Saccharomyces cerevisiae S288C: one gene and its partner. The protein of the gene in region 2 interacts with the protein of the main gene of each other region in a biochemical or structural test. Each region holds a gene or a part of one and is shown on either strand. Other genes may lie near its edges.

The links. Proteins that work in one complex are often made in the same cells at the same time.
Region 1: the proteins of LSM8 (region 2) and PRP24 form a complex in vitro, tested with the Saccharomyces cerevisiae proteins (one study listed by BioGRID).

What each region holds. Positions count from the first base shown.
Region 1 is NC_001145.3:799,895-807,177, reverse strand, and holds PRP24 (U6 snRNP complex subunit PRP24), read left to right. Parts: upstream 1-2,955; coding exon 2,956-4,290; downstream 4,291-7,283. Other genes in the region: orotate phosphoribosyltransferase URA10, read left to right, coding at 1-313; RRN9 (Rrn9p), read left to right, coding at 755-1,852; TMA23 (Tma23p), read right to left, coding at 2,087-2,722; inorganic diphosphatase PPA2, read right to left, coding at 4,474-5,406; RSN1 (Rsn1p), read right to left, coding at 5,799-7,283. UniProt on the Saccharomyces cerevisiae protein: Functions as a recycling factor of the spliceosome, a machinery that forms on each precursor-messenger RNA (pre-mRNA) and catalyzes the removal of introns.
Region 2 is NC_001142.9:465,608-472,650, forward strand, and holds LSM8 (U4/U6-U5 snRNP complex subunit LSM8), read left to right. Parts: upstream 1-4,176; coding exon 4,177-4,506; downstream 4,507-7,043. Other genes in the region: dihydroxy-acid dehydratase ILV3, read right to left, coding at 1-601; peptidylprolyl isomerase ESS1, read right to left, coding at 914-1,426; TES1 (palmitoyl-CoA hydrolase), read right to left, coding at 1,625-2,674; REC107 (Rec107p), read right to left, coding at 2,948-3,576, 3,657-3,972; methylthioribulose 1-phosphate dehydratase MDE1, read right to left, coding at 4,623-5,357; BNA1 (3-hydroxyanthranilate 3,4-dioxygenase), read right to left, coding at 5,531-6,064. UniProt on the Saccharomyces cerevisiae protein: Component of the nuclear LSM2-LSM8 complex, which is involved in spliceosome assembly. The LSM2-LSM8 complex plays a role in the biogenesis of the spliceosomal U4/U6-U5 tri-snRNP complex by accelerating PRP24-mediated annealing of U4/U6 di-snRNA.

The DNA.
Region 1 (7,283 bases), on a different chromosome or scaffold from region 2:
ATCGCTTGAAGACAAGAGGGTGTTGATTATCGACGATGTCATGACTGCAGGAACTGCAATCAATGAAGCATTTGAGATAATCAGTATTGCTCAAGGTAGGGTAGTGGGTTGTATTGTTGCTTTAGATAGGCAAGAAGTGATTCATGAATCTGATCCGGAAAGAACAAGTGCTACCCAATCTGTTTCAAAGAGATACAACGTTCCTGTGCTAAGTATTGTATCACTGACTCAAGTGGTACAATTTATGGGAAATAGACTATCACCAGAGCAAAAATCAGCGATTGAAAACTACCGTAAGGCCTATGGTATATGAACTATAGAACTGACATGGACCATTTGATTATCATTGTTTGTATAGGAAAGAATAAATTTTTCTTGTATTCTTTTTTAATCAGTATACGTAAATAGCTTTTTATTGTTGGAGTTACGTGAGTTCTCGCATAGTAATTCATCAACTATTAGTGTCTTTTAAGGTTTCTTACTTTTCTTTTTGTCATGCTTCACTTGAGAGGATTTCTACTACTTTCCATAATTTTTCACTAAAATATTTTTCTTCTACAAAATAAACAAAAAGGCCTTTCGTGTTTGAAGATTACTCAGATGCAAGAATCACACTCAAGTTTAGCCATAAAGGGTGAAAATATTGATGTGTCGGCGGTTTTTTCTCTCTAGACATTTAACAGTTGCATTATAAAACTGTGCTGATTTCGGGACGACGAAATATATTTGAGAACAAACATTACGTGGGGTTTTGATGAGTGATCTTGACGAAGAAAGTCAAATTGAAACTCAGATCGATGCTCCTATCGAAGATATTATACGAGGATCTGAGCTTACCACTACAACCGCTGATAAAGAGACTTTGAAATCTGCAAATGAATTATTAGATTCTCTAGAACACTCGCACAGAGTCGACCTTTCGTTGCATTTATACTCTGCGTACCTCTTGAAAAGACTATTGTATAAGGCAAATGAAAAAAAACATTTTTATGAAGTAAACCAGTTTGTGAAGACCCAAATTAAGGATAACTGGACGAGCTGGCCTAATCCCAATACAATTATTGACCCTAGTGTAGACAAATTGTATGAAGATATACCGGAAGGTATTGCAAATGTAAGCGTACAGCCGGGGGAGATCTCAAATAGGGCTTTAATGCACGCCTCTGATATGATGAGGGTTGAGCTGGATGCTCAATGGCAAAAATTTCTCTCTAAGTCTGCCTTGGACCATGATGTAACTCTAGATGTGGATGAATTGAACATTCCAAACGAAATATCCCGGAATATCTTAGTTAAACTGGACAGCTTATTCGAAGGGTTGCATGATAAAATAGCCAAAGAGAACGAATTCGATGTAAGGCAAGATAAGCATTCTAATAATATAAGGGCGAATCAGATAGACGACGAGCCCATGCAGGCCAATCGACGAATTAAATACACATATCATGACTTGGTTTCAAGAGGTTGTGAAATGAACGAGGATATGACGGATATCTACATGAAATCATTAGAGCTATATAACGATATCCCAGAAAAGTATAAAAAGAGAAAATTCAGACTGCCCAAACAAATTCTAAAAAAGTATCACCAGCCAAAAAAGACCAGTTCATACTTAAAGGAGCTATTAAGTAAAACAAGAGAAGATTTCATACCTGTGGAAAAGTTATTGAAGGATAAACGGTTGACATCAAAGGACAAATCCAAGCTACAACGCTTAAATCGTGAAGAGACGGAAGATGCTCTAAACAAAAGAACATTTTTTCAGGTAAAGGGCTACTTAGAGGATGAGAATGAGATCTCTGATTACGAGTTGGACGACTGCCTCATAGAACTGCCTAATGGGAACATATGAATGAGAAAATCTTTTTTTTACCTTTTTCCATTAAGAAATATTCATCTCCTTTTAAGATCAACATATGTAACAATAAATATACTCTTTTAAAGATGTTCTTTTAATTTACTTACTGAAATTTAATATTAATAAAAGTTCGAAAACAAAGACTAAATACAAAAATAAAAAGATCATAAATTCAAACTTTTAAGAATGTCTTTTACGGATACATATTTACATATTAGACTATGATAATCATATATGCTCCTTTCTATCTCTTCTTGCTGAACTTTCTTCCTTTTTATGTTTTTTTGACTTTTTGGATTTTTTATGCTTCGATTTATCACCTTCATCGCTGCTATGCTTACTTTTCTTTCCTTTTTTACTCTCCTTCTTGCTTTTCTTCTTCTTCTTCTTCTTACTCTCACTGTCGTTACTAGTCTTTTTATCTTTTTTCAATTTTTTTCTCTTGACCTTGTTATCATCTTCATCACGCCTTCTTCTCTTCTTCCCTTTACTCGAACTTGCACTAGATACAACAAAGCTGGCTTCCTCCTTTTTACCAAGATTAGTAATGGTTCCTTTCAGCCCTTCTCCCTTTACAAACCACCTGTATAGAGGTGAGCTACTTTTCGATACAGCAGTAGCAACTGCCTCATTTTGAGTAAATTTAATACTGCCATTATTCGAATCAGTGCTTACATCCAGGTTCTTCAGATGTCCATCAAATAGCCTTTCCCACCATGCTTCGCCATCATTCCCGCCAGGAGCATTACCCAATCCCTTCTTATCTCTCTTGTGCTTTACCAGTATGGGTCTTTTCAAACCACCTTCTCTAAACGCTTCTCCTTCTTTCCAACCATATGATATCAGATATTCTTTGCTATCCATGTCCGATTTATTCTGATAATATTTCCGCTTGTATCATTCAATTTTCTATGTACATCATGACAATGAATTGTAGAGTGCATCAATGTCTTTTTTAAAGTCATCGCTAAAAAATTTTCAGGCGGGAACTTATTCAAAATGGCAGATTTACTACAACATTGAAAACCCTTTATATTTATTATATGAGAATCATTAGCGATAAACAAGCCCACATATTCACTTCATAATCTGTGATAATGGAGTATGGACATCACGCTAGACCAGATTCAAAACGACCATTGGATGAAGGATCACCAGCAGCCGCAGGATTAACTTCTAAGAAGGCGAACGAAGCTTTAACAAGAAATAGAGAATTAACAACTGTATTAGTCAAAAATTTGCCTAAGAGCTATAATCAAAACAAAGTCTATAAGTACTTCAAACATTGTGGGCCCATTATACACGTTGATGTTGCGGATTCGCTGAAGAAGAACTTTCGTTTTGCACGTATTGAATTTGCCAGGTATGATGGAGCCCTCGCTGCAATAACCAAAACACACAAAGTTGTAGGTCAGAATGAAATTATAGTATCTCATTTAACAGAATGCACATTATGGATGACGAATTTCCCCCCAAGTTATACTCAAAGAAATATTAGAGATCTATTGCAAGATATTAACGTTGTTGCACTCAGTATACGGCTTCCCAGTTTACGATTCAATACAAGCAGAAGGTTCGCTTACATCGATGTTACTTCTAAAGAGGATGCAAGATATTGTGTAGAAAAATTGAATGGACTCAAAATAGAAGGTTATACTTTAGTTACTAAAGTTTCCAATCCGCTGGAAAAGTCGAAACGGACCGATTCTGCCACACTAGAGGGGCGAGAGATTATGATACGAAACCTAAGTACAGAATTGCTCGACGAAAACCTTCTGAGGGAATCTTTTGAGGGATTTGGTTCCATTGAAAAAATCAACATACCTGCTGGACAGAAAGAGCACAGTTTCAATAACTGTTGTGCATTTATGGTTTTTGAAAATAAAGATTCTGCTGAAAGGGCACTTCAAATGAATAGAAGTTTGTTAGGTAATAGGGAAATTTCCGTTTCCTTGGCTGATAAAAAACCATTCTTAGAAAGAAACGAAGTCAAAAGACTTCTCGCATCGCGTAACAGCAAAGAACTAGAAACACTAATATGCTTATTTCCACTTTCAGATAAGGTGTCACCAAGCTTAATCTGCCAATTTCTTCAGGAAGAAATACACATCAATGAAAAAGATATTAGGAAAATACTTCTCGTTAGCGACTTCAATGGCGCCATTATTATATTTAGAGATAGTAAGTTTGCAGCAAAAATGCTAATGATACTAAATGGATCTCAATTTCAGGGAAAGGTGATACGTTCAGGTACTATTAATGACATGAAAAGATATTATAACAATCAACAGAATCACAGCATGAAACACGTCAAACCTAGTTGTATAAACATGATGGAAAAAGGACCAAATCTTCAAGTAAAGAAAAAAATTCCTGACAAACAAGAGCAGATGTCCAACGACGATTTTCGCAAGATGTTTCTAGGTGAGTAGACTAACCGAACCGGAGAAAGACGAACTTCTAATAGGATGTCATTTTAGCAGTGAATATAAACCCAAGTTTCTTTCCAAACGTTCACATACATCAAGCAGCCAACATTCGAGAGAGCAGAGATTACGTAATTATATACAAGGAACCTTTATCTAAACATTTTCTTCGAAGGTATTATTTTCATATTAAACGTAATACCATTTTTGCACCTCAGGCGGTATTTGAGAAGGGGGTTTAACACTATCTTCAAGTGTGACACCATTACCAGCCCTTTCTGTATTAGGCAGGTTGTCATACTTCTCCTGGAGTGATCCTGAAATGAGGTTTTTCCACGAATTGTGACATTTCTTTATAGTTTGGATGGTTTTATTGGAATTTTGATACTGTTCATGAAAGGCGAAACTATTTAATGGCTTCCCTGCTGGAACTTTATACTTTCTAAACCACTCCCTAGTCGTATCTAGAATCCCAGGAAAGTACTCCTCAATTTTTTCCAAGTCATCTATTTTAGAGGATAAAGGATCATTTACGTCGATCACTATGACCTTCCAATCCAATTCTCCATCATCAATTAAAGCGAGTGATCCTAATACCTTGACCTTTTTAATGGAACCCATTTCCAAAACATCCGAACCGATTTCGCAACAATCAAGAGGATCATTGTCACCTTTCAAAGCCACGTCACACTTCCCCAGTTTATGTTCAATTGTGGGATCTTCCCATGTTTGGGGAATAGCACCATAGTTGTGTATATAGCCGTGATAGGGAAAGATATTGTTCACGAACCTAAGCTTGCCATTCTTCGTATCTTGAACGATCGGATTGAACCTAAGTTCTTTGGATATTTCAAATTTTCCAGTTGTCCATCTTGGTACTTCAACAATCATATTTACGGTCTTTTCATGTTCATTCAAATCTAAAGGGACATCATGGAAAAAAGAACCAACCTCTCCATTTAATAATGTCAAGTATTTCTTAAACCCGAGGGTATATTTGCTGCCTTGTTGAATGGTGCTGAATTGTCTATGATTACGAATGGATAAAATATTCAATGTTTGTTTTAACCGTTCTATTGACCTAGCCTTGCTTGTTAAAGCATTCATTCGTAATAAATTCATGTTTTTCAGTAACTTCTCTAGAAGGGAATTTGCTTTTCACGCATACAAGCGAATCAAAGTTTCCAATTGAATGTACTCCCTATTAGTGCTGGTTAAATTAGCTGACTGCTCCGTATTACTGTGCGGAGTTCCTTTTATCCAATATTCAAACCTCATAGATTGCCAAAAACAAAAAAACTTTGCATAAAAAAAAACAAAAAGGGTTACTATACACGATGAATGATTAGACTATACACTATTATATAAGAAATGATTAGAATCATATTTTAAATGTATTAAAAGAATATATGCACGTCCTTTTCCTCTCCTTTTCTTAGTAAAATTACAATTCAACCATCAGAGGATAACAGCTAAACAAATAGGAATAGATAATTTCTGATAATGTTTAACCTTTAGACTGCCGAACGACTCTCTTCTTCCTTATACTTTGGGTCCGCAAATGGATTATTTTCCTTACTAGCTGTGTCAAATTCGCCATTTGCTTCACCATTTGCTTCGTCTTTAACATCATTATATGGTGGTGGTACGTCACGCAGAGTAAATTTCAAATTCTCATCGATGGTAGCATTTTCATCGTTCATTTCAACAACGCCAGAAACGTCTGAAATCAACAATTTGGAAAATCCAAAAGGATCGCGAGGAATCCACAATTCGGGGCATTGTGCACTAACAGCTGGATAATCGTAAGCATGAGAGATATCGAAATCATTGACTCTTTCATCAGGATCAACCAAACCATATATTTCTGGCAGTCTGCTCTTTACAGCCTTATAGGAGTAGTAAATGTGAGGTTTTAAGAATCTCTTCCACCATGGAGCCGGAGGAATTTTCATTGTATCACCATCTGCTAATAATGGCACGTCCTCAATTAAATTTTCTGCATTTATAGCGTGCCCATCTGCATTGGCTTCATTTGCTGGGTTGAATTGATATTCGAATGTATTTTCACTAAATATGCTATTTTCAACTTGTTGCTCAGTGACTGATTCACTCCTCTTGTGATATTTCTTTATTGGAAATTCAGGTAATTCTTTGATTCCGTCCATGTCAATATTTGCACCAAAAGTATTTTTCTTCACCTTTGTACTTTCTATGCCTTTATAAATATTTTTGAAAGAAGGTGTATCTGATACACCATCTAACGGTTTCATGGTATCAACGGGTATAACCTTTGATAAATGATCAAATGCAGCGCTCAAATGTAAATGAATAAGGACGGTAACACAAATTCCAATTACCTGTAAAACGATTGGGCCCCAACCTTTACCAACGGCAAAAAGACCTAATAGACATATCTGACCGATGTAGATACCAACTATAGTTTGGAAAAGAGCTCTTGGATAATAAATACCCCTTGCGTCGGGTGATTCCTGATAGACATAAGTCAAATTGTATAAATATGCAATATACAATAGGAAAAACGCGACGGCAGCAAATAATAAAATCAACGGAGAAATGATGGAGTAGGAGAAAGTAATAACTGCCAAGTTTGTATAAACTGGAAAAGCTGTCCCCCACTGCATACTGGATAGCCCACAAAAACGATTCCATTTCTTCCTAACGGTACCATCTAAAAAGGCACCTAAAACATAAAAGAGTATTAGTGGAACAATTTGCAAAAGAGCACCTGATGAAATGGACAGACCTTGTAGAATAACGTATGACATGAAAAAATTAGAAGCTTTTGGCAGATTAGAAGCCAGTAGATCCATAGCCTTCGTGGGCTCTTTAACAATTTCCGTTACTGTGGAAGTGGCGGCGGAGGATAGAGTGGTAACTAAAAAGACTTGGATAACTTGAAAGGCGAAATAAGCTTGTTGAGTGAAATATTCCACATTTTGCTTAGATGGAGCACCTTGAGTGATAGCCATACCCCT
Region 2 (7,043 bases):
GCTTGGAAATATATTCACCGTAGGATTGGAACGCAGAGACGATATCGATGTTTTTAGAGATCTTCGAAGAACCACATGTTGGATGACCGGGCAAGATAGTACCACCATATACCATGATGGAAGGTCTGTTATGTCTACCCATGGCCATCATGACACCGGGCATGTTTTTGTCACATGATGGGATGGCGATGTTAGCATCGTAGTGTTGTGCCATCATGATGGTTTCAAAGGAGTCTGCAATGATTTCTCTACTTTGTAACGAGTATCTCATACCTTTAGTACCCATAGAGATACCGTCTGAAACACCGATGGTGTTGAACTGCATAGCTTTCAAACCCGCTTTTTCAATGGATTGAGAACATCTGTTATTCAAGTCCAATAGATGCATGTTACATGGGTTACCGGACCACCAACAGGAACCAACCCCGACTTGAGGCTTCTTGAAATCTTCCTTCTTGAAACCGGTGGCATAAAGCATGGCCTGGGACGCACCTTGGCCCTTAGGTTCAGTGATGATATACGAGTACTTGTTGAGCTTCTTTGCAACGCATCTCGTTGTAGAGAATTGTCTAGATGTAGCAACTTTCGTTAACAAGCCCATCTCTACTTTTTTCTTGGCTGTTTACAAAAAAATACAAGAATCCGTTACTAAAGATTACAGGCGCTACAATGCATAATAAAACTTCAGTCTCTTCTTTTGTTACATTATATAATATACTACTATATTACTGAGTCATCTGGAGAGGAAAAGAGAAAATTTTTTTTCAGGCCCGGTTCCGCTCGCAGCGAAGAACAGCGCCATTTAACTATGTGACTAGTTAATTTTTTTTCTTTTCATGGGTTCAGCGAGGACGGAATGGATACAAGAGGGAATAAGAACATAAAAAGGTGAGGTGGAGAAGCAAATGCCAACCTAACCTACCCGCTTGATCACATGAACACCGCTTCCTGATTCAACGATATCGCTTACCTCGCCGACCTTGAGCTGGAAGGCAGCGTCTTCAAAGCTAGGCTGCATCTCGCCTCTCCCGAACCAGCCGAGGTCGCCGCCTCGCTTGTATGAAGAGCAATCTGATCTCTCTTTAGCCAGGGCCTCGAAGGAGTTCGTCTTAGAGTCGTCATCCAACCTCGTGATTAAGGTTTTCAGTTCGTCCGTAGCGTCTTGCTTGGATATCGTAATGTTCTCGGATCTATGCGATGCGGGTCTTCTTGAATCCTTGTGCTTGATGAGAATGTGCAGGCATCTTACACGCACTGGATGGTCTCTTAAGTGCTTGTGTAGCTGGTCCTTGTTGGTGCCCTCAGGCTCCTCCCATTGCGAGTGCTTCGTCTCTGGATTGAAAAAATACTCTCTTTTCTTGGACTTACTATACCTGACGGTCCACGGGGTTGGCAGCCCGGTCCTCGATGCTACGTCAGATGGCATTGGTGCGTCGTTGTGGTGCCGTAGTCGGTTATGCGTGGGAATAAGTACCACAATGATCATTCAGGTCCTTTTTCTACTTAGATCGAAGGGAAAAAGGTATGATACCCGCTCGTGAAAGGTGATGTAATAATAAATAGGATATTATTATATAATATAAGAATATATATGTATGTGTTTATACGTGGGAGGGAATTGTCCTCAGAACTTGGCTCGAATGTCTCGTTCTGACCCGTAGACAACGTAGCCCTCCTGAGAGACGCTTGCCATGATGCGTCCCGACTGTGTGTCGAAATACTTGCCCTGTACGAGGTGCTTGTCCCAGTGGGACCTGGGATTCGAAATCTTAAGATAGATCCAATTGTTCACATGAGGCAACTGGTGAAAGTAAATCGTGTGGTCGAGCGAGACACTGAAACTGTGGCAGTACAAAGGCAGGTTGTGGAAGTACGGGATCGTGAGTAGGAGGTAGGAATCGGACAGATACGCAAAGGCCACGTAGTTGTAGCGAGCGTCGTTCTCAGGAGTAATGCTCTTCGGGATCCTGTACGGATGATGCTTGTGTAAAGAAGACTCGTCGCCCGCGTGCTCCACGGTAGTGATGGGAGGTCTCACTTTGACGAAATAATCCAGCTCGTCGGTGTGTCTTGCCGAGTAGAACATGTCCTTGGGGAATTGGTACTCCATGACTCCGTATTGAAACGCATCCACATACTTGCTCATCGAGGTTGCGTCTTGGAACCTGTCGGACAATGAGGCATACCTGCTCAATTTCTGTGGGTCCAGAACTTCTTTCTGGAAAAGCGAAGTGGCCTCTTCATAACGATGAGGGTCTGGCTGCTTACCTTGCAGGCCTGGAATCGTCTCCCAGTGCTGCAAGGAGTCGTGCTCCTTGGACCGTTGCACGGCAAATAAGATCATCGACGTAAATATCAACTTGTCGTGCTGATAAGCACTAACCTGCTTATGGATGAAATTTCTACCGTTTCTCAGATTCTGCACATGGTACGTGATCTTGGTCCGCGGATCACCACCCTTGATGAAATACGAATGTAGCGATGTGGGGAAGAAGTTCAATGGCACAGTATGCAATGACGCCAGCAGCGATTGTGATACCAGCGTTCCACCAAAAGTGCCCTTAGACCCTACGGGCGCGGCAGGCAGATACTTTGTGACAAAACTGGTAGGCGAAAGAGGAACCAGTTCCAATATTTTCTCTAGGTTGGACATGGCCATTTTGGAAGCACTCATTTTTATGCAATCTTGTCTTATCTTGTCTTGCTCATGGTGGATACTGAATTGAAACCCTTTTCTGGTTTATATCCAACTGGCGTGGTTTTTCATTGTAGGATGAGGCTCGGTGTTTATGCCGTCTCTTCCGAGGATGCAATCAAAGGCTCTCTCCTTTGTTGGGGTAGTAGCAAGTCCAATAAGCAACGCTTGTTTGTTGATTGGGCCGATTTACATAGCCTATACACTGCTGTTACATATGCCTGTGTAGAATGAAAAAGCAGGACGCCCGTTTCACAGCTCAGATTCCAGAGTGTCGGGTCTTAGTTCCTCCCAGGGAATAATGGTCCTGGCCGCACGCTTCAGCCGATGGCTAGCGTCATCATTGTCTTCGCTATTGTGGTTTTGGCTGGTGGATAGGGTTGGGGAGCTGGATCTTCTGCGTTTCATGGACCTTGTGACCATCATTCTTGGTGGCGGCACGGACTTCTTACGCTGCTTATCGTGGGCTTCGTCCATATCGTGCAGGAGTGTGGTGCCATTCAGAGACACATCCGGGCGATCGTAGGCGTGATCTGCCTTTTCTCGAAACGCCATCTCTAGAGCAGTCTGGCGGGTTTGTAGACTGTGCATGTCTTTGGATAGAGACAGGAGCACTTTATGCACGTCCTCCAGTTGGCTGCCGACGTTGAAGAGCATCTCCTGGGTGCACCTCATCGACTTTTCCGTCTCATGCTGCTTGTTAGTTACGTGTCGCGTTATCTTGGAATTATACCTGCTTATTTCTTCGACTAATACCTGCCTGTAGCTGGAATCCGACTTTGTCTTCTTCTCGTCGCCTTTCGATAACATTGCTGTTGACACTTTGTCCAGTTGGTTTTCAATCTGGGAAGCCAAATCCTTTATTAAGGTTTTCACGTTTCCTATACTACAGTTGTTAGTAAATGTGTTTTGGAAGAAAATGAATAAAAAACTTGAGGGTATGCACTGTGTTGGTACGAACCGTTCGTAGCAGCATCTTGTTCCAGTAGCTGGTTAAACTTGTTTAGCGATTTACATAATGTCTTAGAATTTTCATTTAAAACTTTAATTAGCTTGTCAGAGTTTTCCCTCAGCTCCATACTCTCCAATTCCAGTTTACCTGCCCATTCCAGTATCTGCTTGTCCGATTCCTCTAAAGCGCCTGCATTCGCTACTTTCCCACTGTGGGAGAATATAGATCTGAACGGTGATGATGTTTCTGTAATCATCAACGAGTGTTCAGAATTAGCCTCTGAAACATCTGTAGATATCTCGTCTGTTCTACCTCTAGCGACCATTTTACTAAATGTTTCTACACGTCTGCAGTATCCTTGTTTTGCTTGTTTTCCTTCTTTCTGTTCTTGTTGATTTTCCCTTTAAGTCCTGAAAATACTATCATGGCGTAAAGGGAAAAAAAAAAACTAATCTTACGTGGTTCTTATAAGATGGACCAGCAAGCTGCATACAGTACACCATACAAGAAGAACACACTATCGTGCACCATGTCAGCCACCTTGAAAGACTACTTAAATAAAAGAGTTGTTATAATCAAAGTTGACGGCGAATGCCTCATAGCAAGCCTAAACGGCTTCGACAAAAATACTAATCTATTCATAACCAATGTTTTCAACCGCATAAGCAAGGAATTCATCTGCAAGGCACAGTTACTTCGAGGCAGCGAGATTGCTCTTGTTGGCCTCATAGATGCAGAAAATGATGACAGTCTAGCTCCTATAGACGAAAAGAAGGTCCCAATGCTAAAGGACACCAAGAATAAAATCGAAAATGAGCATGTAATATGGGAAAAAGTGTACGAATCAAAGACAAAATAATATAGTTGCAATAATAGTAATAATAATAATAATAATAATAATAATAATAATAATAATAATAATAATACCATGTATAGAAGTATATAAATCATACAATAAATTTAAGCATTAACCCGTCACGGACTGGCCATCTTCAGATGCTTCTTCTCTTCGCCAATGCCACAGTCGGGAGGAATCCCCATTTGGTACATCTTTATGGCCAGCTCCATCAAATAATCGATGGCTTCGTTGAAAATTTTGGCCTTATCGATTGTCGGACCCCAAACAAAAATGCCATGTCTCCTCACAATTACGGCGCATGTGTCTGGATAATCTTTAAAAGTCTTGTGCAAGTCATCGATCAACTCGTCCTCATGCGCCATGTTTTCAATGATGGGAATCTTCAGCGTATCAAAAAACGATAGCGCCATGGGTTTCTTGGTCACAGGGTCCACCTTTCCGCTTGGAATTGCTTTGATTTGTTCGATGTTAGCAATCCTGAACTCATCGCCAAATAGCAAGGAGCATATCACAGCATTTTGGGAGTGTGTATGTATTATAGCACCTGCATTTTTCTTTTGGTAGCACGCTAAGAACAATGGAGTACATGCGCTTGGCTTGTAAAGCTTGGGAGAGCGCAAATACTCTAATGTCTGAGCGTCCATGACAAACAAATCCTCAGGTATCATCTTCTCCTTCTGCACCCCAGATGGGGCGAGATAATAATAATTCGTGTTAGGATCTTTTATTGAAATCCCACCTCCAGTTCCGGTGCACCAATTATTATGAAAAAACTGCTTGCATAGCGTGCAAATGAGATTTGCTGGATGGCACGGATCATCTGAATGTATCAGAACATCTTGTGAAGACATAGTCGTTCACTGGCTCCCCTTGTTAGTTCAGTGCTTAAAAACGTTACATATCTTGATGAACAGCTAGCTGCTTTGATCAAGAGAAAAAAAAAAAAAATTGGCACCGCATCTTAGTGCCGCAATCTTACGTAACAAGAGAGCTATAAAAGTACAACTAACAACTCTTCTAATACTTAATTAGATTGAGGGCGTGCGTAGTTTAACGTCTTGCAATGGAAACATGTCCTCTTTTCGACATCATTTTCAAAATCTAAAATGGCTTCTTTCACTTGGGTACCTAAGTCTAACATTTGCAGTTCACTCTCGTGGACCACTTGGCGACAATGAGAACAGTACCACCTTATCTTATCGTTTTCTCCCCCAGGCCTATCTTGTTCCACAACAATACCCACAGTATCAGCAAACCGAACAGGACTGTGAGGAACATTTCCTGGCAATAAATATGAATCGCCTTCATTGATGATGATATCAATGAACTTTGGTTCAGCGTCTGTCTCATCCACAACCTTTAAAAGCATAGATCCTTTTTTTTGATAGAACCATTCGGGAGTTGGATTGATGTGATAACCGGTTCTTTCATTAGGCCCACCGACAATCATCACAGTGAATCCCCCTTTATGTAAGCAATAATTATTCACCGGTGGTTTCAAAAGGCCTTCGTTCTCCTTCAACCATTTGTCGATATTAATTGGTGTAGTATTAAACATTTTTTTCGATTTTTTTGGTAAATGTATGCTATTTCAGTTACTTGTAGACTGTCGTGAAAAGAATAAAGAAAGAATCTTTTACGTCCGTTTTTTTACTTTGCCGAATATGTTTCAGTGACTCACAATTTATCCTGACGCCGTCACAAAGGCAGCCATTCCATTGCAATAACGACACTCTGAATATTCACGAACGTTCACCAGACATTTGGAGGCAGCGTTCTAAATGCCGATACCCGTTCAGGAGTACAGGTGTCAGTGACAGAAAAATAATGGCACCGTTGACGTCGAAAATACATCCGCGCAAATTTTGACAGGCTATTTTGGCAGCGCAATCAAAGAATAAACTTGGTATAGTAAGGAAGCCAGTTACTGTACGCATGAATTACGGTAGCTTTTTTTATTTTATTTATTTTTTTTTTTTTTGGACAAATAGAAAAATTTTTATTATTATGTAAGATTATTGAAGTAAAAATACAATTGGACGAATCTAGTTAGATTGCCAAGATGTGTTAAAAGGCAAGATTAACTTATGAACATGATCTACAACGTCCTGGTTTTTAAATTCGAGTAAATACGCCTCCTTTTTATCTGTGAATGACAGTCCTGTTCTCCCAAGTCTTTTTACATCATGGAGACGGGAGTTATACTCTCTCGGGTACAAGGTTCCTTCAGCATCAGAACAGATCACAAACTTTATCGCAACAACAATTCCTTTATATTCCTGGGAAAATATGTCGGTATAGCCTACTCGAGACGGCTTCCAAACATCAGCTTTCGTTTTAACATGTTGCTGTTGGAATAAAAATCCACTATCGTCTATCAACTAATAGTTATATTATCAATATATTATCATATACGGTGTTAAGATGATGACATAAGTTATGAGAAGCTGTCATCGAAGTTAGAGGAAGCTGAAACGCAAGGATTGATAATGTAATAGGATCAATGAATATAAACATATAAAACGGAATGAGGAATA